Drosophila melanogaster: one gene and its partners. The protein of the gene in region 2 interacts with the protein of the main gene of each other region in a pairwise test. Each region holds a gene or a part of one and is shown on either strand. Other genes may lie near its edges. The genes, in order: Prim2, Teh4, CG42288 and Agpat4.

The links.
Region 1: the proteins of Teh4 (region 2) and Prim2 interact in a two-hybrid assay, tested with the Drosophila melanogaster proteins (one large-scale study listed by BioGRID).
Region 3: the proteins of Teh4 (region 2) and CG42288 interact in a two-hybrid assay, tested with the Drosophila melanogaster proteins (one large-scale study listed by BioGRID).
Region 4: the proteins of Teh4 (region 2) and Agpat4 interact in a two-hybrid assay, tested with the Drosophila melanogaster proteins (one large-scale study listed by BioGRID).

Annotation. Positions count from the first base shown.
Region 1 is NT_037436.4:20,357,389-20,364,743, forward strand, and holds Prim2 (DNA primase subunit 2), read right to left. Parts: upstream 4,198-7,355; 5' UTR 4,120-4,197; coding exon 2,518-4,119; 3' UTR 2,445-2,517; downstream 1-2,444. Other genes in the region: kin17, read left to right, coding at 1-480, 553-753; CG5665 (uncharacterized protein), read left to right, coding at 1,124-1,319, 1,389-1,648, 1,701-2,432; Toll-9, read right to left, coding at 4,652-4,859, 4,921-5,048, 5,119-6,737, 6,953-7,174, 7,278-7,355. UniProt on the Drosophila melanogaster protein: Regulatory subunit of the DNA primase complex and component of the DNA polymerase alpha complex (also known as the alpha DNA polymerase-primase complex) which play an essential role in the initiation of DNA synthesis.
Region 2 is NT_037436.4:4,173,266-4,182,467, forward strand, and holds Teh4 (tipE homolog 4), read right to left. Parts: upstream 5,006-9,202; 5' UTR 4,379-5,005; coding exon 4,233-4,378; intron 4,166-4,232; coding exon 3,955-4,165; intron 3,670-3,954; coding exon 3,585-3,669; intron 3,521-3,584; coding exon 3,318-3,520; intron 3,254-3,317; coding exon 3,087-3,253; intron 3,034-3,086; coding exon 2,739-3,033; intron 2,663-2,738; coding exon 2,525-2,662; intron 2,454-2,524; coding exon 2,124-2,453; 3' UTR 1,594-2,123; downstream 1-1,593. Other genes in the region: Ero1L (endoplasmic reticulum oxidoreductin-1-like), read left to right, coding at 1-11, 73-124; CG18675 (uncharacterized protein), read left to right, coding at 688-1,062, 1,129-1,398, 1,461-1,577; Teh2 (tipE homolog 2), read right to left, coding at 7,033-7,090, 7,466-7,702, 7,763-7,936, 7,990-8,185, 8,260-8,536.
Region 3 is NT_033778.4:14,087,997-14,094,554, reverse strand, and holds CG42288 (uncharacterized protein), read right to left. Parts: upstream 3,525-6,558; 5' UTR 3,447-3,524; coding exon 3,180-3,446; intron 3,108-3,179; coding exon 2,984-3,107; intron 2,920-2,983; coding exon 2,828-2,919; 3' UTR 2,741-2,827; downstream 1-2,740. Other genes in the region: CG42287 (uncharacterized protein), read right to left, coding at 3,620-3,699, 3,763-3,898, 3,958-4,179; prosap, read left to right, coding at 2,395-2,562.
Region 4 is NT_037436.4:16,376,653-16,385,144, forward strand, and holds Agpat4 (1-Acylglycerol-3-phosphate O-acyltransferase 4), read right to left. Parts: upstream 4,919-8,492; 5' UTR 4,646-4,918; intron 4,530-4,645; exon of another isoform or gene 4,477-4,529; intron 3,991-4,476; exon of another isoform or gene 3,986-3,990; 5' UTR 3,985-3,985; coding exon 3,819-3,984; intron 3,584-3,818; coding exon 3,048-3,583; intron 2,976-3,047; coding exon 2,618-2,975; intron 2,558-2,617; coding exon 2,475-2,557; 3' UTR 2,322-2,474; downstream 1-2,321. Other genes in the region: roq (roquin), read right to left, coding at 1-358, 424-585; Agpat3 (1-Acylglycerol-3-phosphate O-acyltransferase 3), read right to left, coding at 5,420-5,505, 5,730-6,087, 6,679-7,214, 7,275-7,461.

The DNA of each region.
Region 1 (7,355 bases), about 16 Mb from region 2:
GACGAGGAGCGGATGGCCGACTTCATTGAGCAGCAGATTAAAAATGCCAAGGCCAAGGACGGCGAGGAGGACGAAGGCCAGGAGAAGTTCACCGAGCTAAAGCGCGAAGAGAACGAACCACTCAAGCTTGATATTCGCCTTGAGAAAAAGTTCCAGCCTGACACTGTGCTAGGGAAATCCGCTCTAGCCAAGCGACCTGCCCCTGAAGCTGAAGAAAAGGTGTTCAAGAAACCCAAATCCGTGGCTGGAGACAGCCAAACGCGGTCGGTGCTGGACGAGATCATCAAGCAGGAGGAAAGCAAAAAGGAGCGTGCCAACCGCAAGGACTACTGGCTGCACAAGGGTATCGTGGTCAAATTTATTTCCAAATCCATGGGCGAAAAGTTCTTCAAACAAAAAGCGGTTGTCCTGGACGTAATTGACAGATATCAGGGCAAAATCAAGTTCTTGGAGACTGGGGAAAAGCTAAAAGTGGATCAAGTAAGATGGAAACCCAATTTTAATCTATAACGGATATTTACCCAGGTGTTTTTATTTTTTTTTGTTTTCCAGGCTCATTTGGAGACGGTAATCCCCGCTTTGGACAAGCCTGTCATGGTGGTTAATGGCGCTTATCGGGGATCCGAGGCTCTGCTAAGGAAACTGGACGAGCGCAGATATTCAGTCAGCGTGGAAATATTGCACGGTCCTCTCAAAGGCAGAATTGTAGACAACGTGCAATACGAAGATATATCTAAACTACATGGCGCCTAGCTGCGCTTTTCTAAGTTAAATTCTATAGTTGTACCTTTTTATGCCTAATTTGATATATATGTAAGTAAAAAATCTTAACCATTTCGGAGAAAGGCTGAAATCGAACTAGACAAAAATCTGCACATAATACGTTCGTTACTTAAATTTGGACTGCTCAGCATTTGGGTTAATAAAACATGACTTTTTAATGAAAATAACTAGAACACTCTCATTTACTCAGTGTACGAATATTTCAGTGGGTATGCAAACAATATTTTCGAGTTCAGTTTGGGAACAATAAAACCAGCGAACAATGGCCGCTTTACTAGCGATAATTTCTATACTTGCAAAACTTAAACTAGTTCCAGCATCGGTGTGCTAAAGAAGGGATATGAGGATTCTGTGTGGCATTGTTATCCTATTACGCCTCGGAGCATTGGGAGATATAGCTGTTGACGAAGAGGGAAGGTTGACGCGAAGCTGGTGGGATGCAGTGCCTAGACTTTTAACTGACATCGCCACCATTAAGGCGAACATACTCACAGCTGCTCCACTTGAATTGGCTTCCAACATAATTGATGCTGTGTGTAAGGATAACGTCCTGTGTTTATCAACATATAAAAAGTTATTTGATTTTATTGTGATCTAAATGCCAGGTTCTTCCACCCTCTTTATGGACAGAATCCCTGCGCAAATCACTCCGGACATAAGGAAGATGCATTTTCAGTACATGACGCCGTGCCAGAACTACAGTGTGCCCCTGCTGGAGGCCTCGAAGCTGTGGAAGCACTCTCGATTCAGCAAGGGACGTAAGGTGGTAATTCTGGCCACCGGATGGACCAACACCGTAAACGAATCCTCGGCCATTTCGATGATCTCTAAGGCATTCATGTGTCGTGGCGATGTGAATTTTGTGGTTCGTCTCGTGAATCAATTCTGAAAGTTCATATCTAAGGCTTCCATCTCAGATTGTAGATGCGGCTGACTATGTGGACACCTTCTACGCGTGGTCGGCGCTGAACACGGATTTAATTGGAGAGCATATTGGAGTTGGTCTGACCCACCTTATAGAGCTGACCCCACTTCGAAATATTCACTTGATTGGTGGGTTCATAAAGGAATCCTTTGTGTCCATAAATTCTGGTTCTGATTTCTTTGTAGGACATTCACTAGGAGCTCACATTATGGGCACTGCTGGTCGGACTTTTAAGAAGCTTACCGGAAAACTTATACCCAGGATAACTGGCTTGGATCCGGCCAAGCCATGTTTCAGGCGGGAAAAGATTCTGCCAGGATTGACGCGTGGCGATGCCAAGCTAGTGGACATAATCCACACCAACATTGGTATTTTGGCCAAGCGTGGACCCCTCGGTGATGTGGACTTCTATCCCGGCGGAGCACATCCCATCCAGCCAGGCTGCCTAACCATCGGATGCTCTCATACCCGAGCCGTTGAGTATTTCGCCGAGAGTGCATATCCACACCAAGAGAAGAACTTTATGGGCAAGAAGTGCGCTTCTTGGGATGAGCTAAGAAAACGGGATTGTTCTGCTGGCATAGTTTCCCCGATGGGCTATCGAATGAATCCCCAAGCCAGGGGCATCTACTACGTAGATGTCAATGGCTGGCCCCCTTACGGCCGAAACTCGGAGAACACTGTTGATCCTAGGCTTAAAACGTGCTACTTGTGCCGGAGGTGAAGTCCGAACCATGGAATAATATAACTTTTCTTATTTACGATGCTTAAATATATATGTACCTTAGTTAATTTATGTTGTACAACGTTTAGTAATCGATTTGCGTAAGATCTAGATCATCATTGAAGGCCTCGGATATGTCCTTTTGGCTCTGCATGATACGCTCCTGGGTTTCCGCGATTCGCCACAACTCATCGTCATCGTCACCCATCAGCATGGACCGATCCCCATGGCCCTTGATATCTGGACGGATTCTGGCCTTGGGCGGAGCAGAACCATTGGCGCGCTTCTGCCGGTTGCCCATCGCTATCTGGCTCTCCTCGAAGTAGTTGTTGGGGTGATTGATGCTCGGCTCGACGGGTGAATTGTGGGTAAGTTGGAAGTACTTGCCGCATCCAATTTGATAGTGACCGCGGGACACAAAGAACATCACCTCGTCGATGGCACTGGCTGACAGGCCATAGGAGGACAGCTTGGTTTTCAACGAGCCCTGATCCATGTTCTTATACGGACAGCCGTGGCAATCGCCCGGCCCCGCCACATCCTTGATAATCTTGGCGCACGAGTAGGGTGTGTAGTTGACCATGGAACCCTTCTTTCCGTAGTTATGGTAAATATTGTACTCGTAGCTGCGTGTAAACTTATCCGCGTCCATTTTCTTGGTAAACTCTTCGCGCCAGAAGCGCAGCGAATCCTCCAGTGCCACGCCAATTCCTTTGAGAAACAGGCCGTATTGCATTCGGCCGCTATGTTTTATGTGATGGTTGGCACGAATGTGCTCGTGGCACATGCGCATACACAACGGCATGGAGGTCTTGGAGAGCTGATCGAGCGACTCGATGGGCACAGCTGCATCCCGACAAACGGTGTAATCCCTACCGGTATACGAGTTATGTAGAGCTTTAAGTGTGCGGGAGATGCGCTCGTCGGCTTCTACATCCTCCACCATAGTCTTAGCAGCCTGCAGGCCTTGCTCGATCTCGTCCTGCTGCTTGGTGCCCACTAGGGACACCAGGTCGTGGGTGTTAACATAGGCGTAGCCAGCCTTTAAAAAGCAGCGACGTCCGCGCACCAGATCGAGCACCTGGGTGAAGGGCACCTTGTAGAAGTCCAACAGCTCGATCTTCGCCACGCTCTGTCCGACCGTGCTCTCGTACAGGCCGTCCTTGACTTCGTCCTTCTGGGCCTCGGTGAGGGGGTGAATCTCAAAGCCGTTGGCCTCAAGGAACTGCTTCACCTCGAAGCTGCTAAGTGCAGCGAATTTGTACCGGAAGAGCTCCATTTCGCGGGCCACGAACCAGCGCGCAAGGTCCTCGGAGCGGCAGTAGGCCAGCCGCAAGATGAAGTGCGAAAGATAGTCCCGCCTGCGGGTCTGGATATCCGCCTCGTGCTTGGCGCTTCCGCCGGTGGAGCAGAGCCTTAAATAGCTGCGCAATCCCTCGCGGGTCAGGTCCGCACTCACGATTTCCTTCCATTCATCTGAGAGCACGCGCAGGTTCCGGGTGCTTGCGCGATCCAGGACGCGGAGAAGGCGCAAGCGCTCTAGAGCCAGCTCCTCGAATTCGTCTATGTGCACGTCCTCCGTCGGCGGATAGTGGTACAGCATGACGTTGTGCGGGTACTTGGTTTCCAGGCTGGCCACCTCCACCTTCACCTCATGTCTCGCGCGTTTCTTCAGACCAAACTCCATTGTGAGTCGCGGGAATTGCTATAGTAATTTACAATTTGTGGAATGCCCGTTTGTTGTTTTGGCGCGCAAACTACTGATGGCAAATATCAGCTGTGTCAGTTGTTATCGATAGTTTTCTGCTCATTATCGATGCTTGCGGTTTATTCAATTTGTATTTCAAAATTAAACGTTTTTAATTGTTATTATCAGTCAATTGGTACTGATGTATTGATTGTGTGTTGCATTGTTAGATATTTCTTAGGCCTTAGCTTTGTTTACATAGTGTCCAGTAGTAGTAGGTTATGTTTAATATACGACGCTATTGCCTTTGTTAAGATATTTCAAAAACATCACATAAGCTCTTAAAAACCTAAATACCTTTATTTATTAATATATGTTTAAACTATACTTATGTTCAGCAGCAAATTTTGCATATTACTATGATTACTGTGGGGAAACTTTCGTCTTCATGAAAGTGTAATTAAGTAGTTTATATACTATATCAGGTACGTGCACAACTGACTAGAACTCTCCGGATAAAATTACATGTTTTCTAAACACTGATCTCTCTGGAGTTGATCCCTATGACCTCCAGGGATCTCTTCAGACGTTTCCAAAACAGCTTTCGATCCTCCTTGGCCGTCGGCCACTTTATATACGTTTTCACATCCATGAGATATTGCAAAGTCTTGGGTCGCTTTCGCCGTGGAATGTCCTCCAGAAAAACCAGGATCAAGTGCTCCTTGCTGACCTCAAAGATGCTACAATATACACACATATATTGATTTTAATATTTGAATTTTACAGATAAAGATTCCTTACCGATGCTGTGCCAAATACATTTCAAATTGACACCAATGACTCAACAGGAACTTGGAGGATATGATCAGCATAAGGGAATACGAGCGATCCATGCAGGAGATGATGTTATCTAGGATGGTCACTCCAATCTGCATGTGAATTAAGGGTTAAGGTTTCACTTTATTAGTAAGTTAATGTTGTAAGATAAGTACGCTTCACCTGAAAATCTCTTTCATGCAGACAAATGGACACATCCCCAGTTTCCTCCACGTTCGGCAGCAGTTCATTGAGCACCCAGGTCCGATCATTCTGGCAGTAGCTGATGAAGATATCGTAGACGGCACTGGGATCTCTCTGGGATATGTTTGTGAATTTATTCACCGACTCCTTGGACGCACTGGACAACAAGGCAGCGGACTTCAGGGAAGAGTAATAGTAGTGGATGTGCCAGCGCTTCAGATAAATTATAAATCCCAGGATGCAAGCGCCAACTAAGCTGCCCATGACTGCGATCACTGTGTTCGTAACGTGGTGCAACTCCTCGGCGAGGTCACTCATCGACCTGATCTGGCAGTTGAGCTCATCCACCTGGAGCTGATCGGTGTTGTTGAAGCAGTAATACTGACTGGCCTCGTAGTCGAGCAGCTGAAATTTTAGGGTAAGATCTCCGTCAAGGTCCCCTAAGTGGTATGGCTGGGCCGCGGAGCACTTGGCTACCATGTAGTCCTCGGAGGAGAAGCGCAGCTTGATTATATGATTCGCGCGATTGAACTCCCTGATGTTGGAGTAACTTCTCTGCAGCCAGGGAATATAGCGACTCTGCCATAGCTTGCGATCTATAATTAGTGACTCCGCCAGAGATATTACCTCCTCACCTACGGCATTCTGACTATAGTTCAGCAGTCTATAGGAGCAGTCTGCATCTTTATTATTGGCGGCCGCCACCTCCACCACCGCTCTCAAATGGCAGTCGCAAATAAAGTCGTTGTCCCCGAGACTAAGGTAATCCAATCGCTCAAAGTCCTTCAACATCTCGTTGGACAGCATGTTGATGGTGTTGCTTCTCAGGTTCAAAACCCTTAGGGCGGAGTTGTTGTGGAAGGCACTGCGGTACCAATTGCCCACATGGTTCGAGCTCAAGTCGAGGATCTCCAGGGACTCCAGAGACTGAAACATGGCGGGAGTGAGAGCGTTGATGTTGTTACCCGCGAGGCCCAACACCTGAAGGTTCTTCAACGACTTGGACCACTCTAAATCCTTAATATTCGATCGCTCGAAGTACAAATACTTCAGAGTGTTAGCGATGCCATCGAAGGCGTCGTCGATGATGTTGTAGGATAGGTAGGGGTTTCCGGACAAGTCGAGGCCCTCCAGAACCGTATTCTTGAAGATGGTACTGCTCACCATGGGAATGGCAGTGTAGCACAGACTGAGGAACTTCAGCTTATCCCCCAGATGGGCAAAAGCCACCGCACTATTCCTGGTCATTTTCGAGTGGGAGAGGTCCAGGTAAATCAGTTCCGGCAGATATTTGAACACGTTCTGCTGGATCTTCAGGCCGTATATCAGGCTTAAGGCCATTTCCAGAGTGGGCAACTGCAGTTGGTAGCTATAGGTCAGGAAGTTAGTGAAGGACAGGTCGAGATACTGCACTCCCTGGACGTAGTAGAAAGTGTCGTGGCTTATCGTCATGATCTTGTTGTCCGACATGAAGAGCCTCCGCAGATTGCTGACATTCCGGAACGCCTCCTTGCTCACGTACTCGATGCTGCAGTTGCTGATGTCCAGCTCCACAAGTCGGGGCATCTTTGGAAAAGTGGCCCAGGCTATAGATTGGGCTGGGAAACAGATAAGGAATTCACGTGTTAGAAGTATTTATGGCATGATATTTAAAAATTAAACCCTTCCTCCTTAAGTTACATAGTTAGAACCTTTTAACAGATATGAAACCAGGAATATGGAAATGACGGATATCAAGTTGTGATTAAATGTGGCATGAGGACTTTTAGGAAAACGTCTTTGCTGTGTAATTGTGTTTGCGTTGAGATCTTACATGAACTTCCGTGCTGATCGAACCGATCTTTTAAGACCTTAATAAAGTTCGTATAGTTTCTACCGGTTGTGATTGATTGTCCCATGTTTGTGTTGTTGTTAAAGTATAGATAGCATTCCCGATCATACAGATCGGTGGTATTGTGTAAAAGTAGTAGTTCACAATGGTGTGGTACCGAGTTACTAGCCTCCAAGCGGGACTCGTTTACAAATCGAGCAAAGTCTGAAACGGCGAATGGTAACTGGACATCAGAATACGTGTGCCATTGCGTTTCCGGTTCCCACAACTGACTAAATGGTCAATGATCTAACCCGGCCAAGCTTACCTTCAGCATCTGGAATCAGTTCAGCAAAGTTATTTCCTCGCAGCGATAAAAGCTTCAAGGATTCCCTCATGGAGTAGA
Region 2 (9,202 bases):
GCGTTTGGCAGGTGCGTTTTAAATGATAAAATGGCATTTCTAAAATACTTACATCTATACACTTGCTTGCAGACTATCCAACAGTATATACGAGATGGAGAATTTCCGGTGCGTGCTGAGGTAACCCATCCAGACTGGACTAACCGAGCGACGAGCCGGATCTCATTCGCCTCACATGAGCAGCTAGTTAATTCATACGCACATCGCTGGGGCTGCGTCTTGGACTTCCTACTGAATGCGGTTTCCCTCCCATAGTTCGTAACATTTTTGAGGCCAGAGGCTAGTAACCCCAGGATAGCTGCTTCCCTGTACATACAAACTATTACCCTAGGCTACTTGTACTTTAGCGCACCGTATCACCCTAAAAAAAACCAAATGACAAAAAAATAACCCATGCAGGATGCAGGTGTTTATTGTAAGTTAGCATAGTATTTATTGTATCTGGAGGAGTTTGTGAGCGGAACTTAATGAGCAAGTAAACGCATTGTGCAATACCAAGACCTTACGACACAAGGCGCTAAAATAAACTTCTGTCTGTTTTGAAACACCCTCTCTAACGTCTCCATCGATACGGGTCCTAGCAACCGAGTTGTTTGCCATTCCAGCTGTCGGCTTTTGTGACATTAGCAAATTGCTATCCAGTCGATCGACACTTGATTGCTCTTGTGACTATATTTTCTGTGCGAAATGGTGCTTCTTCAGGTGAAACGCGGAGACGAGCTTATCTTCCTCTATGAGACAAGCGTTAAGGAGAAGACTGATACTGTGCTTCGCGAGCTTGTGGCTCTGCACAATGGTCAACTGAAGATTCAGCGTGTCTGCATGGAGATTGAGGAGCTGGCCGAACATGGCACCATGGTGCCGCCTGAAATGATTGGCCTCAACGAGGAACAGAGGGAAGAGCTCAAGCTTAAGGATGTCTGGGCGGATAAGTGCATCCCGTCTGGTGGTTTCACTATCAACAAGGATCCGCTCCTTCGCCGTAACGGACAGCAGCCAACTGAGGCGATGCAAAAGGTCCTGGCAGGTGCCATGAACGACGCCAAGGCTATGGTGGATCGGGTAATGTCTCCTCGAAGTTTATCCCTAGAACTGTTTTTGCTAAATGGTTACCAACATTCCCTCTAGCGCTTAGCTAAATCCTCAAAGACCTTGACCCCAAAGATCGTTGAGGAGGCGTTGAACCTCCTGCGTGGTGGTGTCACTATTGTATATCCCATGCAATTGCCGCCCCACGACTCCATACGCATGGAGTTCACCAATACCGAGGATCTGACTGGCACCCAGGCCTCCAAGGAGGTCATCGAACCGTCCAAGGCTCAGTTCTGGTTTGCAGGACACCAGATGCTGATGGGGAAGCTAATGAGCGACTATTTGGGTCACAACGACAAAACCAAGGTAACTGTCCCTTTGATATCCTAAATATATTTCCTTCATAACCCATCCTAATACTTAACCAGGTGGTCGTGAAGCTAAATCAAATTGGTGAAGGACCACCGGGACGCGAAGCCGTGATCTCCGATCCCTTGCGTCGCCAGATGATGGCCGAGGCCTATCGCCGCCAGGAGGAACTCAAGGTAGGACCTTTGCTTTGTAGAGAGAATTCCAAATGGTGTTTTATTTGCTATAATTCGAGTATAAGTATATCAGATATAAGTAGGTACTATTGCTCCACCGGTTAAACTAGTTTAAGAAATCGCTGAATATTGCATAGCTACAAAGTCGAGAGTTAAGGCGAGTCGGATGCCTATATCCTTGGTCTGTCCTGGTGTTTTCTTCTTTGGTTTCGTTCAGCAGATGTCAGTTGGTTTATGCTATATACTCTATATAAATGCAACTATGTCTAAGGCCCATCTGCTGCAACGGTTAGAGTGGGGATCGGGTATATAAAGCTCGGCCATCCCATCGTTGTTCATCTGGGAGCTATATGTCCAGTATTTATATATGTGTGATTATCATTTTTCAACCAAGCAAAGTAAAGATCCGTTTCATTAATCTGTTAGTTGTTGTAAACGTTGTATAAATGCGCTGATTAGAATTTAAATTCAGTTCCCCTTGTACAATGCACAGGTCCTTAAAGTTTGGTGCTGTTTTGTATCCTTCTTTCGATGCGGTTAATCCGCTTATAGTATGACTAGTGGTTTCTCGGGAACATCGCACGTAGTTGCTTTCTCCTGATCCTGGTCAAAGATTTGATCACTAGTTCCGGATTCTCCGACGGGACTGATTGGTATCAACGACTTGGTGCTACCGATTAGCTCTTGGTTGTCCAGCGGAAGTCCGTGGTCCGATAGTTCTTGACCATCCACCGCTTGGTGCTCCAGGTCAACTACATCGTCGTCTGTATCGTACATCTGATCCTGCTGCTTGTTTGCTAGTCCTGGGCCAAAGGGGCCATCATTATCTGAATCATCGCCGGCACAAACACAGCGCATCTTGGCATCGTCACCCACCTGAAAAAAAGATAGAAGTATTATATAGTAAGATCAATTCATCTGATTTCTTCTCGAAGTAAGCCACCCACCTTGACGGATTTGGTGATGATACATAACGATATAGATGAGATCACAAAGAGCACAATGGGCACAATCAGCGAGACTAGAAGCTCCCTGTAAACCTTGTCCAAATCGTAGCGTGCAACCACAAACTCCACATTCGAGTCCTGTGAGAGGTAATAGAAACGTCAGGTAAACTGATACCAGAACTGGAATTCAAATGGAGTTTAATCCCCCACAAACCTTGTTATAGTAGCACTGGTAGCGTGACTGGGCGGTGTTGTTATCGCCATCGTTGCCATAGCGAGCCACAAAGTCCTTGCACTCCCCACGCAGTGTGTTCACGCAGCCCTCCAGGTTGATGAACAGTTTCTTCCAGCTGTAGATGGTCAGGTTGGCCTGGTTGGGCAGGTACCTCTGCTCGGGATCCACCGACCTGGTGCTGTTCTCATAGATGGCCCAAAACTGGGTGAAGTTCATGAAGGGAGCGGGCAAGGTGTCATGTTCCAGGAGGGTTCCATTTATGCAGTCCGTGGCACTTTTGGAATAACAGATTGTAGGCAAAATCTTTTTCGATGCTTTTAGACTTACGTGATGCGATTGTCCGACTCTCTTGTGACTGTGGCGCAGTTGGTCAGCAGGTTGCCATCATCCTCTTTCCAAAACTCAAAGGGTTCGATACGCACACCGTGCTCGGATCCTCGGGCTTGGTTGAAAGCCACTGCGTTCTCACAATCGGCGGCAATAAGATTATCCTCCTAAAAGTATTATGGATTTTACTTCCATTTTATATAGTTATTTTTATCCTTATTTCCAGCTTACGTGCATAATAAGGGTGTTCACATTGGTAGTTGTTATCTTGGAACAGTAGCGATCGCAGCTGAAGGGCTTCTTGATCTTGGTGCAGTGCACCCCGTGACACTCGAAGAATCCATTCAGCTTGGTGTTATCCTTCTGCGAATTGACCGTAAGTCCATCGGCTTTGTGGTGACACAAGAAGAACTCCGACATATTCTTGCAGTGTCCTGCAAGGTGAAAAGCAATCAGTAATTGAAAATTCACATAGGGGGTCTCCAGTATGGAACTTACCATTGGAGCAGTTGAAGACGCCTCTGATATTGTTGCAGGCGGTGCCGTTGTTGCAATTGAACTTGTTCAGCCGACTCAGGTCAATCTGTGGGGAGAGAACAAAAGAAGGATAATGGTCATTTGTTGATCGTTAAACTCTCGTGGCGCCAAGTGGCTATTAAAATGGAGGGGCAAATACTTGACACGCTTCATCGTCTTTCCACCAAAAGCAAAGAATGAGTCATGGCAGAACTTTTCCTATAGCAGGATGCCCAAGACGATGACGTCTTCTACTAGTTTGCTCAGTTTAAGGCAGTGCTACAGTTGGTCACAAAAGTTAACCAGTTGTTGCTTAGGAACCTTTCACCTAAGGGAAATGCTATAAACTTACCATGGCGCACGATGTGTTGGTGACTCTGGTGCAGTTGTTCAGCTGGATATCGGTGCCGTTGCGACGCACTATTGAGTGGATCTGGGGGCAAAAGCCACTGGTCTTGGTCAGGCACCACTCGCCGCAGGATGCCCAGGGGCAGTTGTTGGGCATCTGGCGATCCACCGTCTGGCACATGACGGGATCCAGCTCGAAGCCGGACTTGAAGGCCCTAGAAACAATACCAAGTTATGAGTGGGTTATGGGTTTTAGAGGGGGGCTATAAAGTAGGTACCCACTTTAGGGAGGGCGAGTAGATGGCCACGCTTAGGTAGACGATGGACACGCAGGACAGCACCATGGTCAGCTGGCACAGGCAGATGGCGCGACAGATGCGCGCATCCTGTTCGGGAATCACCCGCGGTTTGTCCTTGCGCCGCCCCATTTATCCACCTGGTAGTGGTTCCTGGGTGTGGGTTCAGTAGTACCTAGTGCTCGGCTAATTTACGACTTGTTGATTTGGTGGCCCACTTCCGGCCCTGCTCCACCTATGTATTGTCACCCTACGCCGTTCTCAAGGTGATTCCTTTTGGGTTTGGTGGGTGGTGGTTGCTCGGGTGGGTGGGTGGTTTGTTTGGGGTGGTGGTGGGTGTGTTTGTGGCTTGTGCCGTTCTATTTTATTTAGCTTGGCTCATTGGAATTTAAAATTACTCGGACGTGTGGGGTGGGTTAGCGATATGTGGAATGTCAGGTGGGAATCTGGGACGTCTTATGTTCAAACGCCGACAAGGCGAGATTCAACCAGTTAACGACTTGTTCAATTTGTTCTTCATTTGCGGACGGAGTTGCCACCTAAATCACTCGGAGCTTCCAGGGTTGCGACTCACCCTTTCACGCATTTCATTGGAACGTTTGTTTTCGTTTATGCACACGCGTGTTGACACTTTTCATGAAACGCAGTGCGTGAAAAGTGCATCGCATAAACGCAATAAATGTTTGATGGATGCGTTCTGATGGCTTGAAGTCGCCTATTTGGCCGATTTTCGCACGTCCACTCCCGACGGCAACAGAGTCCTGACTGAATCCCGGAGCGGAAGGAGTGTGGATAGCCAGGACTGCCAAAGGACACTGCGCACTTTTACTTTTTCGAAAGCGAAAGCGAAAGTGGTGGGGCCCAGGCCAAAACAAGCCCTTGAGTGAAATGGAAAAAAACCGGGACAGGGATGGAGCCAGCTCAACAAACGGTTCCGGATCCTGGGAAGCACGCCTGCGCCTGGAGAGGATGCCCTCCACCTCATTTGTCCTCGTTTTGCGCTACTCTCTCCCCAAATTTCGTAAATGAAAACAGCTTTGGGTTTTGTTTAGCATTTCTCCACATTTGTTTTGGTTTCTTTCATTTTTGAATTGTTTATTAAATAGGCCGTTAGCTGGTTTAATTTGTTTATTGATAAAGACACGTTAAGTAAAAAATTTTAATCGTTTTGCATTCAAATTGGTTTGTTCTTCGGTTTGGTTTGTATGATTTAAAAAATTCTCATAAGCAACGTGCGTTATATCGGTTCTGCTAAGCTATATGTATACGTATATATCTATATATATATATAAGTTTATATATATACTGTTATAATCCGTTTAGATGTTGGTTTTTACATAAGATCGTTAAAACTATTTCAAAAATGTTGAGAGTGTCCCAATGTGAGCGTGTGTGAGTGAATAATTTGGTTCCGCTGCTTATCCCCAATGGATTGTATCTGGTATTTTGTGGTTAATCTATCTTTCTGGGTTTATTTCGTTTTGGAGTTCGTACCGCCCCGTTTTTATGAATCTTCGCCGTGTTTTGGAGCGGCCTGGAGCGGATTCGGTTCTATACAATTGTTTGTTTGATTGGTTTCTTTGGTTTTCGCTTCCGTTTTAGTTAGTTTTACGAATTTACTTAATATTTTTATGACTACTATCACAATTTGTTGAAAACAAGCGACTCATTAATTGGTATTGGTATTATCTCTGTGAAAATCGAAGTCGAGATTGGAGCATCGCTGCCGCCTCCAAAAAAGCCATTGAAGCAACCAAATTTCCATATAACTAGCATAACAATATGATGGCAAAGTGTATGTTAACAAATCTCTTGAGCGCACAAATGTTTAATAAATTGGCTGAGAAAAAGTGACTCCTTCGGCGATGCTCCGCTTGATTTATATATATATGTATATATCGTCCGATGTGATGGCAAATGGAATTCTATATGCTTGTATATATATATATATATCTAGGTAAGCTATGTGTGGTACAGACTACAAAGTTGAATTTGCTATTTGTTAAGGGCGTTAACTAATATTATTTTTGCTAGTATTCCATATCATCATCTTCGTCACTGTGACACAGAAGTTTGCTAGAATTGGAATGCGATTGGAACAGATTTCTTAATCAATGCTAGTCAGATATAAGCGGTATATATATTATGCTAAATAGATTGGGATAAACGGATCATGCCATTCTAGCTAGTTTCGAAATTAACAAACATTCATTAAAGATCAAAAGAAAAGCATGCAAAACATTTTCTAAAGGCATTCTAATATAAGATCGTTAAAACTTGAGGGTATTCGATATGTTATTATATCATTATTGATTATAGAAAAAAGGGAAATGCTGCGATCCCGAGTGTTAACTAAATTTTGTTTTAGCCTGAAAGAAACCTTTTGTTTTTATCTGTATTGCTTGAGCCTAGACCTTTAATATTTTGAGTATATTTCTTGTGATTTTTGATTGTATATCTTCTTTTTTTTTTGAGTGATCGTGTGTTTAAAATTCCTTTCGAATGGTGTTTTGTTTTTGTGCGATAAAGAAAACAAGACTACTATTGGAAATATTAAGAAAGGCAGTAATTGCTAAGGACACTTCAGAGTAACAATTTGTATTGGGCTTCAAATAGATGCGGGTGTTTTTTTTTTTTCAGTGGACTAGCTAGGACTGGGTGCCACACAATATGTGCAAGATATCTGGATCGAGGGATCCAGGGATTATAGCAAATACCATCGCACTTAACCTATCACAATACATTTCTGGGGATCAAAGGTCGGGCACTCGCGCTTTAGTTCATATTCAAAATACATTCAAGGACAACGACTTTTCCGTGTTACATTTCATGCAGTTAACGATCCTGAAAGTAATATAGAGTAGTAAAGAGAAGATAACAAAAGCTAATAGAATACAAAGGCTTTTGGGAAGTAAATAAACTGGAAAACTAAGAGTTACATTCATGGTTCGACTTATGGATCTGGCCAATTTCTTAACAATTAACAAAATGAAGACGTTACAATCATAGGAGGAGGATACAGCATGACAAAACGGAATTTTTTTTTGGTTCTCGACAATATCTTCATACAAGGCACAATGAGTACATGGTCCATGGATCTGAGTGAGTGTCTACTACAATATACAGATACGAATACGAATACGGGGAATTCAAATTTGCCAAACTTTTCGCAATGAATGAGAACAAGATGCGGGACAGCTGGTACGGAATAGCACTCACTCTTCCTTGGTCGGGAACTTCTCGGCGTAGACCCGCGAGGATTTGTTGCACGCCTTCTCGCAGCAGGGGCAGTACCAATAGCTGAGCACCCCGATCGAGATGGCAAAGAGCACGTTCGGTATGATCAGCGAAAGGATTAGGTGGTACAGATTGTTCTCCCACGAGTACCGACCGATGACCACCTCCGGATACGCCCTGCTGTAGAAGCAGGGGAAGGGCTCTCCGATGTGTGAAAACCTGGCAAGGATTAGGGTTAGGACTCTCGTTGTCATGGCTACTATTCATATGCGAACTCACCCATATTGCCTGGCAAATATACTGCAATTGGTCGTGGGCGGATAGCCACAACCCTCTGAGTTGATCAGAAACTTGGTGTAGCTCACATCCCAGTTGACCGTGTCTAGGTCCCGAGGATTGCGCTCCCATTCGCTGAACGGGATGCGCGTATAGTTGACAAACAACTGATGGCACCTGGACATAAGAGGAGTTAGTATGTAGATATAATCAGGCATATCGATACCCACTTGGTGAGTGATGATGTGCAGCCCTCGCGGCAGGAGCTCCAGCTGCAATTCTTGATGCCCTCCGCGTAGATATGGTCGATGACGATGCAGGTCACCGGCACTGGATCATAGTCGGCTATGATCGTTGAGATGGCGGGATCCACGACGAAGGGTATCAGGAAGAGGAATGTGAACACCGACAAAATGGCAGTCGTACCTGGTGATTTTGAAGAATGTGAGTTAGATAGGATATTCAAGAAGTCAATTAGCAACAGCCATTCGTAATCTTACCAAGGCACACGGAGGTATAGAACTTTGCCTTCTCGAGCAGCGTGTCCATCTCGATCTCCTCGCGCTTGGCCTTGATGGCGTCCACGCATCCGCTCCCCGGCCGCACCGGTGATTGGCAGGCGGAGCGCATCGAACCGGATGCGGATCCGCATCCCGATCCCGCCGAGCCGCAACGGCTGCTGTTCAGGCTGATCTTGCTGGCGGAGAGCGTCTGTGCCGAGAGCGTCGGACTCGCCGGCATCGACGTGGTCGTGGTCAGCGTGGAGCTCTTCTTCATGGCGGAGAAATACGGTTCTCTTAGTTTTGTTTCGGGTGTGGGTGTGGGTACGTGTGGGGTGCTTAGTTTGTAGTTGGATCGGTAAAAGCCTTTAAAATGAACACCGCTAACATTCGCGCTTCTACAACAATTAAGATCTCCCTTAGCCTAATCTTCTAATCTTCTGATCTCCTCCTGCCCATCTGCCTTATTTTTTTTAGCCGAAATGGAAAATGTATTTCTTATTTTGTATTCTTTGTATATTGAATAGTTTTTTGTTTTTTTTTTGTTTTTGGTTTTTGCTTTGTTATCTAAATTAATGCTTATTATGTTTTTATGTTAGCCTTGTGGGGTTAACTTATTTTGCTTTGACTTTATCGACTAGTTGTCGTTTCGAGATTTTTCTTTAGATTTTTGATCACGCATCCCTCACTCTAAGCCATTTTTGAATTTCTCTGCCCTCTCTCCCGGCGACTGAACCTTGTTCTATATATCTTCTATATCTTCAGCCGATTCTGGTGTGTGGTGTGTGTTGTCGTGGGTGTATCTCTGTGTGTGTGCGTGTGTCTGTGTGTGCCGTGCATGTGGGTGTGCGTGTGTGCGTTTATCCCCTAGATAAAACTAAGTTCCATAATTGCAATCACTTTAAATATAACCTCGCTCCTAAATCTCCTGCTATCCTACAAG
Region 3 (6,558 bases), on a different chromosome or scaffold from region 2:
TCAGTCCGAAAGTGAAGAATTATTATCAACACCTTATATAGGAGAAGTTAGTGAAGCGCCGAAGATTATTTGGGATCCGCTGAAACTATCAATATTAAATCATACTGAGGAATTTGAACGATTGAATAATGAAATTAAATTTATGAAAGAGAACCATCAAAAATTGAAAGATTTACATTTCCATCATATTTCCGGACATGCTGGATTAATTATTGCTTTAATACTAATGATAGTATTAATAATATATTTCATACGGAAATGTGCTGTGCAACAAAGAATGCAAGCAATAACCTTTGCAGGTCCGTTGCCAGTACTATAAATATCAATAGTAAATAAACAATAAAATAATATAACAAATAAAAATATACAGTCCACTATATCGTTGTTTAATAGAAAATGTACTTCTACATAGAAAAAGCAAAATGTTTAAAATAAGTTAATTGAGTACAAATTGTTGAATTAAAAATAATATAAACCATAATTGTAATCCAATAAAATTAAAAGCCAGAAAAACTAGGCCCATTGAAATCTTAGTTGCAAAATAAATGAACATATATCAAATAAATACAGTCCACTACTGTTATAAATGCAACTAATATACTAATGTACATCTCAGCTTGCTGGCCCTTTGGCAGAATGTTCACACATGAACACGAATATATTTAAAGACTTACAATTTTGGGCTCCGTTCATATCTTATGTAAATGAATCGAGAGCGATAAATTATATTTAGGATTTTGTTATCTAAGGCGACATGGGTGCATTGCTCAAAAACATGTAATTTAAGTGCACACTACATGAGTCAGTCACTTGAGATCGTTCCCCGCCTCCTAAAATAGTCCCTTAGTGGGAGACCACAGATAAGGTCCTCGCCGCTCAAGATAGGCAGATGTGCCCGAGCGTGGGACCTCGATAAGGCGGGGACTATTTACTTAGGCCTCTGCGTAGGCCATTTACTTTAAGATGCGATTCTCATGTCACCTATTTAAACCGAAGATATTTCCAAATAAAATCAGTTTCTTACAAAAACTCAACGAGTAAAGTCTTCTTATTTGGGATTTTACAAGCACTTTTAAATGCTTTCCTTTTTTCCACCTTTTTCTAAAGCCTTTCATTTTGTCACAACCTTTGACTGCAAAACCTTTCATCTTTCAGACAGAGCACCCACAACTTTTATCCTCAATTAGGATTTATCATTTCCCGCAAGCGATTTCCATTTTACACTAGTTTTCCCCCATTTCCCGCCATCTCCGTCCCCCGCCCTTTCGAAATGCCAACTCTAACTAGTTGAATGCAATCAACACGCTCGCAATTAAATGCGACAAAGTGCAGACTTGCAGATGTGGTTGTTGCTGCAGTTGGTGGCTAACCCGTTCCGCCCACAGTTCCAGTTGCCTCGACATGTCCCGCTCCGCCCGCTTTTCCGCTCCATTTTCCGCCCCCCCCCCCCTTCCTCCTCCCCAACACAAAAGCGACAACTGTCAGCGGGTCTTTGGCACACATTTACATGCCTCCAATCCTCCACCCACCGTGTGGCACCTCCTCCTTTCCAGCTAGCGTGTGAATTTAATTTGTGCATAATTGCAATTGCAACTGCCATTGCAGTGCTGCAGCCATAAAATGTCAATATCAAATTGTAATCATCAACGAGAAATGTTTGCGGCAGCCCAAGTGTTTTCTTTTCACTCTGACAATTTGTTTTTCCTATTAGATAGGCCTGCAGACATGAAAAGGGGCTCGGAAAATCGGGCCAATTGCCGTCTGACTGATATCATCAAGTGCGTAGGAAAAGTGCAGTGGACAGTTTCGAAAAGTAAACCAATTTAAAAATTAAGTGCTGGGGAAACTATTTTATGTTGTTGTCTGGACTTGAGCAGGCTTTTAATGGATTGCAATTTGCATATGTGTACTAAATTTATGCGAAAATATTTAGTGCATATGAAAGTGGAGTGAAAATTAATAGCTTCATTGGGTAATGCATTATGATTCGGAAAGGAAATATTATACATTATAATATATTTTATTCTTATACCTCTAATTTGATTCATTTCAGAACCATCATGCGCCAGACTCAACGAACGCAGCACAGCGAAATGTCCAAACAAAACGGATTCCAACAGCAGAAGGCCGTAAAAGAAAGCCAAATAGATTGGCAATAAAAAGTTAGATAAATTAACTTAGTAGCTCATCACGCCCAAAGGCAAATCACTTTGAAGTGCAACCAAATAAGGAAAGAGCAAATTAAGCGAATAGAACGGCTAGAAGGAGATCTCCCAGTGGAGCGGGAGTAGCTTCGTTTTTTTTTCGTGGACCGTGCGATAGAAAGCCGTCAAAATTACGACATACCACCCACCCACGCCCAAAGTCAAACAGAACCCGGCCAATACGGACGCCATGTCCGGGTCGGGTGCGTTTGACGATGAGCCGCCGCCGGAGCCGCGGGACGGATGGCTACTGGTGCGCATCCATGTGCCGGAGCTGAATGTCTACAAGTGTCTGCAGTTCCCATCGGAGCGGCTCGTTTGGGATGTCAAGCAGCAGGTGCTCGCCTCGCTGCCGAAGGTAAGTCGGTCACTGTCATTACCACTGCGATACCCATTGTCTTTTCGGTGTATATAGAGCACGGGCATGTCTCATGTGCGCTAAATACTCACTAAACGGGGAGAAATATGTACATCCGAAATGGGGTCTACTTCACATAGTATGGAGTTCTGCTCAAGCGAAATTATGATCTGTATTTCTGTATCCTACATGCATTATTTTATTAGGCACATCAAATGCTTGCTCAACATACTAAAATTTGTAAATATCATTATTATTACTATTATTACACATAACCGGTTTCCAGTTCATCTTCGTAGGCGAAGAGCAGTTCTATGTAGTAGGACCAAACCACCAGCCAGGCATACACTAAAAGTACTATAAAACATTAAATAGTATACTTAATTTAGGCTTTAGATTCATGATTATTGGGGGTACCCACACATTGTGATGACAGTCAGGATGATGATGATGGTATTAAAGCTGTAAACGGTCAGGGCAAAAATGTGCACAATTATCCAAATGGGTGTGAAAACCAAAAATGGCAGGAAGAGCATCTCGTTGTTCTACAAAATTATGAGGTATTATAAGCATATGCTAAATATATTGGGAATATTTATAATAGACAGATCACATACATTGTGCACTCCCAGGCAGAGCATGGCCGAAACTATGATGCCGAAGAAGGAGAAGACCATGGTGGCCTTGAGGGCCGCCGGTGCTGGGATAAGGGACCTCTGATACTCGTTCGGAAAGATGCACTCCATCATGAAGCCGGTGCCGATGGTGATGTAAATGAACCAGGTTAGAAAAATGCATCCGAAGAGCAGCACACCGAAACGCAGGGAATAGCAGTAGCAGCACTTGGTAAAGATCTGCTTCAGATATTTGCAGCGACAGGCCATGATTGATCCGATCCTCAGCCGCACTGCAAGTTTTAAACAACAATTTTCAAAGCTTTCCTGAGAAACTGAAATTTGTTGAAAATCTAGTTTGTATAAAAGGGACACACTGAAAGAAGTAAACTAGATCAGTTAAATTCAGTTACACGTTAGTTTAACATTTATTTTACAACTCATCAAATTGAATCGTCAGAATCCACACTGCTCAAATATCGATAAAAAGCCAGCACTATTAGCAGGGAATAAACGAGACCAACTAGGGGGTATGAAAATCAAGACATTATTCAGACATATTCAATCAAAAATGGCCAACACCCACCTATGATGAACACCTGAACGGCCAATATAATCGGCGAAGGTTTCGACCTGGCCAACTGGACAACGGCCATTAGGAAATATAGGGATAGTATAATTGCATAGATGATAATCCACATAAGGACAAAGCCTCGCTTGCTCTGCATTTGTAATGTTATAAAGCATTAGAATCTTGAAAGAAACCAATTGAATCTCTTACCTTCGAAGCAGCATACACAAGGAGTATAGAGCTCAGAGTTCCAATTGTCAGGATCGGAGACATGATGACGGGTGCCCACCATTTGTGGGACACTTGCTTGATGAAAATGGTGTCATCCGAATGCGTTATCAGCTCCCCAACGTGAAATGTTATGAAGATGGCTCCAATGATTATGCAACCCACGTTGAGGGGCAGGAAAAAGCAGCACTTTTTAAAAAACATGCCGCTACAGAAATTTGTGATTTTTTTTTACATGAATTTCGCCCAAAACAACAGAATGCAAGGAACAGTTGATCGTAAAATTTTTGCGTTAGTTATTTAATATTTGAATCAATAATAATCTTGCACTAAGATTAAGGATCAAAATCCTTAAAAGACACAAATTCACAATCAAACTAAATGCATTTTGCATTGAATCACACAAAAAACCAATTACTGTGGAATCGCAATGCAATTTTTCAACAGATGTTGTTGATTGAAATTTTTATGCAGCCAAAGGCTGACACGTGCCCTTACAACATAAAAACGACCACGCCCCCTCAGCCGCCCTCGAATGGCTGCCAAATGGCCCTCGTGAAGTTTCAATTTTTGAAGTTCAATGCAATTTATCGGCAACTGCAATGTCTGAGGTCGTGCGCCCAGTTGGAAATCGTGACGCTGCAGATCCAAAGATATTTGACAATTGAATGGCAGTCTGTCAAGGGGAGGCAAAAAAAAAGTGTCAGTCACAAGGAAGGTTAGTTTTTCAATGGCCAACAGATTAGGAGAACTACGTGTTAACATATTCACATATGTTACTTAGTTTGAAATATGAGTAAATGCGTGGTCAGGGGGTCAAGATCAGCGGTTATTTGCCCTTATAATGCCGTCAAATTACTCACCGAATGAAAGGCACTTCCCCGCTCCTTTGTGCTAATGAAAGCCAAACAATGGTCAATCAATTGTATACATTTAATCGCAATTTGTTGAGCAAATTGCTGTCGAAACATTGTCAAGCGTAAATGCAATGCGGGGGCCTCGCCCAATTCAATATTGAAACCGCAAAATTGCAAACGGAAACTCTGGGCGATACCCAAACTGAAACCGAACTGGATTTGAAATCACACTGGTATCGATTCGAATCGAACTGAACTGAACTGAACTGAAATGAACTTCGCTGAACCGAACACAATGACCTCCAGCTAATTGCATGGCCGGGTCTTTCGTGCCGGTTCCGTTTTCGTTTCGGCCAATTCAAATTCAGCGCGTCAAGTGACAGACATTGCCTTGTTTTTGGCTTTTTGGCAAGGGGGCGTGGCCGCTCTGGTTCCACTGTCAGCGTGCAGCTTAGTAAATTATGTTGTAAATTCTGATCGGTTGTGTGGGAACCGAAAGCTGAGCGTGCTTTAACCATTTTTTGGGGATATTTGTTTGTGGGGAATAATATCCTGAGTTACATAAGCATGCAATGTGAATTGCGATTAAAGTTTATGGAAGCATGTTGTTTGTGTTTTGTTGAAAGATAGCAAGGGCTAATTAAGTTGTTCATGCTGCAAACTAAAGAATATGACATCATTGGAATAACTTAATCCATTGGTTTGGGAAATCTAGCATATTCCCTTTACTTATTCCACCTGAAAGCATAGCAGGTTACCAACAAATTTCCTGCTTCCCCACAGTCGTATATCAATCAGTAAACTGGCCGCATATCTTATCGCATGGTTTCTCTTGCGACCGAACATAGAACCCTATATAGACCGTCATAAAGAATACAATTCATGCTATCATCGCACAAATATTTGCACTCCAATTGAGGCCTCTTTCTTTGCACTTTTTGCTCAACCATTTGTGAGCCTTCGATAACTGAGGAATGGTTGAGTAAATCCCGAAGAGACAAACGAGAGTGCCTGTATAATTTCCCATTTTATCGGTCGTCGTCGCCCATTATCGGGACACCTGACGATGGCGTCGGGTTCCATAAATGTATTATTGGGTCTGGTGAGGAATTCGCTTTCAATGACCGATCCGCGCTGCTCATGCCAAGCTTCAGTGAAACTTCACACCATCAATCAGTCAATCTGTCTGTCTGTCAGTCAGTCAGTCGGACAATCAGTCACTTCGCCAATATGTCGCTGCTACAGTTCGCCGTTGAGTGTTAGCCCCACTGGCATCTCAACTTCCGCCTGCTAATCAAAACGAAATTAAAGCTTCTCTGATCTGTATTCAATGGATTTTTCTTCAATTTCTGGGTGGGCGTTACTTACCGGTTTGTTGTGTCTAAGTCGTTTTGCGTGTAATATTCAACGGGCTTTGTTTGGCCCGAAGTTCAGGTTGGTTAATAAACAACTTTGGCTCGTGGCGATAAGAAACCAGTAAGGAAAGCTTAGCCGCATATGGACTACTCGGTGGCTCATTTTATTTTTTTTTGTGGTCTAAGGTGGCAATGGAAAATACGTGTAGGGAACGTTTTGAATGGAATTACGATAAGTGAGCCACATGTAATGGTAATTGAAAATATTCCAACTGTTCTATAATTATCTTGAGTTTAAGAAGCACATCCATAAATACTTGTTTAATATACTTCAAAGTACTTCAAATACCTACCTTAAGTATAGGGCGTAG
Region 4 (8,492 bases), about 12 Mb from region 2:
GATTTTGGTGCTGCAGGATCAGCTCGGTGACTGTGCGTTCGCCTAGGGATCTGGCTGCTCGAAGCGCTCTCACCCGTCCCTCCTCCTCCATCAGCTGGCAGTTGACCAGAGTAACCAGTTTCCGTAACATGGGTCGAGTTAGAAGATTGCCATTTCCGTTCAGGTTGAGGAAGGACTTCAAGTGCAAAGCCAGCTCCTCGATGCACCGCTGACCCAGTTGGTAACACTTAAGGTGCTCCGGCTCCAGCTTCTGCACACTGGGCGGTGGTGGTGCCAGCTCGAGGAGCTCCGAGTCCTTGACCAACTGGAGCAAGGCATGGTTGATGGGCAAATTGTCGATGTCACTGACAATCACGGTCTGAGAAAAGAGATTAGGGCAGATCGTTTAGGGTTGGCGCAATACTTAAATGGAGTTCAACTCACCTGATCGAAGGGACACTGCCGGTTGTAGAGGGTCGTCAGGCATAGCTTGCAGATGGTGTGCCCGCAGCCCAGACTGACCGGACATCGCTGGCTGGCCGCGAATTCATTGCAGCAGATGGGACAGTTCAGAAAATCTGTCCATGAGGGAGCCTGAATCGGCATGCTGTGCGTAAATTACATAAAAATACCAATTAAAATAAAATAAGCCAAAAGGTAAGGAAAATCTTATTTTAATGGAATCTTGGTGATATTGAAATCGGAACAAATTACCCGAATCAGGCTTGTTAAACATATTCTATTCATATATATTGTAGGAATGGCGGAAGTAATACTGCCTTTAAAATTTCATAGCATGAATGAGTAATGTTTCTTATCTTGGGTAAAGAAATCATGCTACAAATGTTCACACATATGCTCTATGGGTAATTCAATTTATGTATATCCTTATCAGATTTAACTTTATGGAAAACATTAGTTTTTTCTGAGAATGAAGTATAATATTTGAAACAGACTTGTGGCAGCCTACATCTATAAGTCTTAATGGAATCTATCACAATAAGATCTGTATAGAGCCCACCTATAAATACTTAAATTATCGATCTATAAAAGGGTAAATCGTGTAAAGATCTAATATCCCATAAAATATGCTCGTTATTATCGAATTGATGTAACGATGAAAGTGACGTGACTCAAGATAGTCTTATTTTCCTTTTACAACGATCAAAAGTGGCACAGTAAAAAGTTTCGCTTTCGTCTTTTTCTTCTTCTTGCCTTACCCCCAACGTCAGCTGTCGCCACACGCACACACTCGCGTGCTCCCCCCACACAGACACACACGCACACTCGTCTGCTGCTGTTTGTGTGCGAGGGCATTTGTACACGCATGCAAGTATATCTGTATGTATATATAGCAACTATATATTTTTATACCCCAGTTGCACTTCCTGGAGAACTTTTTCGGATCTTCAAGTGCTCAAAGGATCGCTAATATTCCTTTTGAGACCCCAGAGAGAGAGAGCCACTCACACACACACGCATAACTGCCTTTATGGGGGACACAAACGTAACTCGCTTTCAACGTCATCAAGCATCCGCTTTCTTTCGAGACGCGAACAAAGGGAATTTCGGGCAGTATCCTATAGGTTGTGCCAACCCAAGGAATGGCACCTTCGAAAAGTAGGGCCACAGGCCAGTGAAAGGTCCTTGAAACCAAGTAATCCCCCAGGAAAAACAATGAACTACACGAAAATCTCTCTCAACGTTTTTTTCGTTACGTTTCACTTTTCACTCTGCTTCGTGGATTTCGCACAAACTTGGTTTAATGCAATTTTTGGCACTGGTGCTGCACTGACTCACCTTCAAAATGCACATATTATTGCATTAAAGGTACGAAAATATGTTTTTTAATTTTCATTGGATTATTGTAAGAAATTTGGGAAGTTGCAATCAGTATGACCGCAGGTGACGAGCGGCGGAATACTGAATCCAGCTGGCTGAAAACGTTGAATGTCTTGCTGCACTGCTTACACGAAGGGTCGCACTAGGCGCTCTCAGCTGATTGCGATAAGCAGTTATCGTTTTGGACATCACTATCTATATTTGAAATTCGATAACCTAATTTTATAGCATTTATTGTATAAATGGCTAAAATATACAACACATGTTCTAATTAGAAAAACAAAAGTACAAGAAGTTTAAACTTTGTAACTACGACGTTTATATAAGTGGTAGAAGACTGAGAAATCTTTTCGATTTAATGTACAAACACATTAAATATTTGCCTCAAAGAAACTTTTAGTTCTTGTAAGTGAATTTGTGAGAAATTTTTTCGATTGGATGTACAAACACATATTAAATATTTGCCTCTAAGAATCATTTAGTTCCTGTAAGTGAATTTCGCATAAAATGTTATTTTATTCAGTTAACTACAATGGTTTATCGTACATATTCAATGTACATAATATTTCTATGGTCAGTGCAGTTGAGTTATTAGTCCATAGGTCGTATATTCCAAAACTGTTGCAGAGTTTATAAAACTCAGGTATGAAAATCTATTTCTTGGCAGCAGCTGCTCCATACGCAGAGGCTTTGCTGATCTTCGAAGCATTCACAGCGTATTCCATGAGGCTATAGACTGGAAGTACAAGTTGTAAAGTTAAGCACATATCCTCGAAACTAGAATTTCTCAACTTACATCCTCCCAAAATGGAAAGAACCGTGATGAAGCCAAACCAGTTGCCGGCAACCAGCGAGGTGACCAAGTAGTGCAGAATGCACAGGACGGCAAAGGTGGCCCAGCCCAAGAAGTTGAGGAGCGTGCTCAGGCGCGGCTTGTAGATTTTCTCGGGCACCTCCTTGACTCCGGAATTCTTAAAGAAGCTGCCGGTCTCGTGGAAGCTGTCGATGATCTTGTCCTTTTCCGCAAAGAAGTCCTGCATCCAGGCGGCGGCCTCCTTCTCGTCATCGGGAACCACGTCCAGTGGCACTCGGCGAATGTACATGTACGGTTCCACGGGCTCTCCGTTCAACTGGGACAGCATGGTGGGCTTTGGCTGTAAGTTAATTCAAGTTCGAAAATGTAATTTAAAATATATATACATATATATGAGATCTTAAGTTCTCACCTCGGCATTCTTCTTGAAGGCCAGATTGATGTCGTAGATGGCAGGACAGATGCCACGCATGGTGGGCAGACTGGTCGTGAATCCCTTAGTGCGCGGAATCAGATGGTGCTTGAGGAGGGGAAGACCTCGCTCCTCGGCGAACTTGACTGACAGCTCGTGTTTGGCGGGTGTGAAACGGGTGCCCTCCGCGTTCAGCAGTAGCCACACGGGATCCGGATAGGAGAAGACCTCCTTCAGCTGCGTCTTGATCACCACCTTGTCCTTCTCGAAGTTGCGGTCAAGGAAGATGAACTCGGCCATCCACCAGACCCATCCCAGGACCGGAACATAGCGCAGCATCTTCTTGGCATACGCCTTGGTGCCTCCCAGATTGCCCAGCTTGTCGGTGATCATCCAGGCGGTCAGCCAGTCGATCTCGTACGTGTGGTTCATCAGGAGCAGTCCATGCTCCTTGCCGAAGAACTTCTGCTCGTCCTGGGGATCGATGTACACCCTCAGCTTGCTGCCCGCATACCATTCCGCCACACAGACAAGGACTAAAGTGTGAGGATAGTTTTTAAATTATCAAAAAGTACCACTTTTACGTTATTTCATTTAATCATCAAATGTAAAAACTAAGTGATTTATACAAAAGAAGACCTTGCATATACCTAATCTAATCAGGAAAACAGGAAGTGTGCTGAAAACTACACTATACTTAATGTGAATGAAATGTGAAACGTTTATACTCATAATGATATGATAATCTATATTAATATGATGGTTACTTACTGCAATAGAAGGAGTAGTGCAGGTAGTAGGCCAGACTGCGGGATAGCTTCTTATCGAAGGGCCTCACGAGGAGAATCAGCAGGAGCTGGCCAATGTTGACGAAGAATCCGCATGTGAAGAAGGTCACGGCGATCAGCAGTCGCCCCAAACCCCGGAGATGCGACATCCTAGGCTAAGAATAGACGCAACTCAATAAATTCAGTCCGTTGGAGAAACGTTTACGTAATCGAAAGTCATGTCTGCAATGCAGTTCATAAATATGTCCAGCGCGCGATATCGACATTTTATTATATGGCCAGTACTCAAACTTTGCTCCCAATGTGTCATGAAAATTGAAATGCTTAAATTATAGTACCGTAAACGCACACACACCCACGCGCAACACACGGTATTGGTACAGTAGACACTAGTAATTTGAATTCTTATCGTTGGATCGGGAAAACAGTACAACGCATTTCATAATTAACTAAGATATTTTTTATTGCATAGTTCGACGAGGAAAATCGAACTAAGCTGTACAATCCTCATTTTGTTTTATCAAATTTGGTAGAAGCAATGATAATGACAATGCCATAAGTACAACTAGTTTTTGAACTCAACACGTTTCAGTTTCACTTTGCGACAGTCCACTTTCTCATTTACACACACACTCACTCACCTATCTAAGCGGAATCTTAACAATTAGAGACCAGGAAGTTGCAACTTGTTCTACCAACCAGTAGAATTCGACTGAATGAAAGTGACTCTTCTAGGCGGCCCGAGCCCCTAGTGATATGGATCTCGTCGATAGTACAACCCAGAAACCCACAACTAACACTTTTAATCACCTGTTATCAGTCAATTGGAATGGGCGACACTGCTTATCGGCGAATAAAGGCGATTTTATGCTTGGCGTGTGGTTGTATTGATCATATAGCCAAGGGCAAGCAGTCGAACTAACGGAACGTGTGCTGCTTCTGATCGTTACAACTGATAAAGAAACGAACGTGTAGGAAGAATGCTGATAAACACAAATATTTGGATAATATGCTTTGCTTATTGCTCATTTCCTTCCTGTTCAAAAGGTAACTTTTGAAAGCATTTCTGGGAATCTCAAAAACAATGTATTCGAAATTTTACATTTATTTTACACACGTATGTGTGTAATTTTCAAGTATCCAGTTTAGAAATACTGTTGGTATTTTGTGTTAAGGTCACTCTTTAGGTGCACTGCTTGCATGTCCACACTTATCAGCAGCCCTTATCAGCGCACTGCTTACCTTACGCCTTATCAAAAAACAACAACAACAAACTCACGCTCTCACGTTCTGTTTAATTTAATTATTGCAATGCTCGCCAAAATACAATTGATCAAACAATTAAATTTCCACTTAGGTGTACAACTACCAACTACGTACGCAAATTGATGGCTCCAGTGTGCGGGAGTTACTTCGTAACTATAAACTTAGACAAGAAAAACATGCAAAACACTTTAAATCGTCCGGATAGGAATCACGAATTGATCCATTTAGCAGAGAGATTTGTGAGAGGACTGCCTTTTACAAAGTCATTTGTAGATAATTGAGTTCGACGACAATCGAAACTAAATGCGAATTCGAAAGTTACTTTGCGACCGACTTGGAGGATCCATAATTAGATGCCTTGCTGATCTGCGTCTTGTTGATGGCCTGACCCATGAGCCAGTAAACTGTAACAAGAAAAAAAGAATATTAATAAGATTTACAAAAGTTAAGGTTTTGGAGGGAGTAGGAACACATTAGAACGCGGCTTATATTATTGTTATAACCATGCAGACGTCATTATATATGAACTTTAGCATTTAACACTCCAAAAAGTTCTTAAAACTTAAAGAATGAACGGCTAATGCCGTCTAAAGTGCCATCCTCCTTAAAGATCGAACCCCAAACTTACAAAGTCCCAGGACGGAAAGTGCGGTGATAAAGGCCGTCCAGTTGGCCGCCAGCAGGGATGTGATCACGTAGTAGAAAATGCAGGACAGAGAGAATACCGCCCAGCAGACAAAGTTCACGAGTGAGCACAGCCGGCGTTTATTCACATATGCCGGAACCTCCTTTATGCCGGACGTCTTAAAGAAGCTGCCCGTCTCCAGGAAGCTATCGATGATCTTGTCCTTCTCCACGAACAGGTTCTGCAGCCAGGCGGCCGCCTCCTTCTCATCCTCCGGAACCTGTTCCAGTGGAATACGCCTCATCAGCAGGTGCGGTTCCACGCTCTTTCCATGCAGCAAACTCAGCATTGTGGCGGGGGTCTGAAAGTTCAATTGCAAGTTAATTAAGTCCGGTAAATAGCCTTTTAGTAGCTAAAACTGTAGTATCTTTATAAGCATCTTTTATAACTCACTTCTGCGAGTTTAATTTAAAACCATAATAAATTTGCAATTTGCTAAATTCTATGCACTTATCATTAGAACGCCAAATTACTCAGTTAAAAAATTAAGGTTGCTATGCTGGCTAAAGTGCTAATAATACTGATGACACGTCAAAGGTAAGGAAAATAAACCAAAATAAGGAAAATAAGTTATAAAAATTACCACTTGATTAACCTTGAAATGTTTGCTCATTCTAATCGGTATCTTTAAGAGCATCGATCTTAAGAAATCGTGACTCTTAAAAGAGGCAGTGAAGTAAATGAGCAAAATAATCGGATTAAACGAAAAGAAATTTGATTAGACCAAAGCAATCAGACAGGTATTGTCGAACAGGCTGATTAGCCTTATCAAAAATATACATGAGAAGCTTTGCCATGCAGAATTCTGCATTAAATGTATGGCACAATAAAATACAGTATTATATAACTAAAGCACTTAAATGAAGTGCTTGAAGTTTGCCGTTATAATTACCTTATCTGTGGGCCTGTACGCTAGATTAATGTCGTAGATTACCGGACAGAGACCGCGGATGGGTGCCAAGCTGGCGGTGAATCCCTTGGTGCGCGGGATCAAATGGTGCTTCAGCACCGTCATGCCCCTCTCCTGGGCGAATTTTACGGATGCCTCGTGCTTGGCGGGAGTGAAGCGAGTGCCCTCGGCGTTGAGCAAAAGCCAGGTGGGATCGGGATAGGAGAAGACCACCTTGAGCTGTTCGGTGATGATGGTCTTGTCCTGGTCGAAGTTTCGATTGAGGAAGACGAACTCGGCCAGCCACCAGCCCCAGCCGATGATGGGCACGTAGCGGATTGCCTTCTTCGCATAGGCCTTGCAGTTGCCCAGCACGCCCAACTTTTCGCAGATCATCCAGCCGTTGAGCCAATCGATCTCGTATTTATGGTTCATGATCAGAAGGACGTGTTCCTTGCCGGCATGCTTCTCGAAGTCCTCCTTGTCCATGTAGACAGTCATCTTGCTGCCGGCATACCAATCGGACACGAAGATAAGTTCTAAGGGATTGGAGGTATTATGTTTCTACTTCGAATCGGAACTGGTCAGGATATACTCACGGGAGTAAAGCGAATAGCAGGCATAGTACATCAACTTGCGGAAGAGTCGCTTGTCTATGGGCTTGATAAAGACGTGCATCAGCAGCTGGATAAAGTTGATGCACAGCCCGCTGGTAAAGAAGGTGAGCGCGATGCACAGGTGTATCAGTCTCAATTGTTTCAGCTTCTCCAGGGAACCCATTTTGATCTGCAAATAGCGATGTTTAACCAATAAAACGGCTGTCTTTACGTAATCACTACTTTAATTGTAGGTTGTTCTCCCGGTAGTGCTCGTAAACCCGCACTTTATGGTCCCAACGGTGGAACACCTAGTTTATGACCACTACACAAGGTCCCGCACTCACACAAGAGCTGCGTTTTCTTCAATTAAAAGCACGCGGCCAAGTTAAAAGAAATCGTGAAATCCGGGAAGGCAACCACCTGCACCACCAGCTGGCAATGGACTGGGGCAACCGCCGCACGGCAGAGATATTCGCCAGATATCAGCGGGAGCTATAGCCCATAGCCCTATAGGCTATAGCTTTTGCTAAGGCCGCTGCCGGAGGAGGAATCTAATCAGCCTTGGCCAATCGATGACTTCTCCGTTGGAAATAGCTACAGCCGCTGTGGACAAAGTCCGCCTGTCCGACGGATAGTCATTATGGGGCAGATACTCGCACTTCACAGTGGAAGCTCGCGAAAGTCAATAATCTTTAGAATGAGTGGGTTTATGGGGACCAAAGTGTGCAAACAGTTTAGCAAAAAATTGATGACAGTTAGGTGTCATTTTTTACATTTTGTACATGGAGATGTTTTAAAAAAGTACTAAAGTTTTACGACCGTTTTAATTATGAGTAAAAACGACAACTTTAAAACTTTAAACTAATTAAATCATTTCATTAAGGCGTTTAGCTATTCATATTTCTTATTAAATAATACTTGGCTTCGGATATTTTAGATATTTCAATTTAAGCAAATTTAAATAAGTTTCGAAACGATTTTCGGATTTTAAATAAACTAAAGTAATAGGTATTATATATTGAGATTATTATTTAAATGATCATGATTTACTTAAATTATGATTTAAAACATGTCAGCGGATAAAGTTTATCAAAGAAGTTTTTATTTGTATTTCTACAAAGTTATAAACAATGGTTGTAAAACGACCAATGATAAAGGTCAATCTTTTGTTTTGACACGTAATATAAAACTGGGACTGCATATATTTACATGCACAAT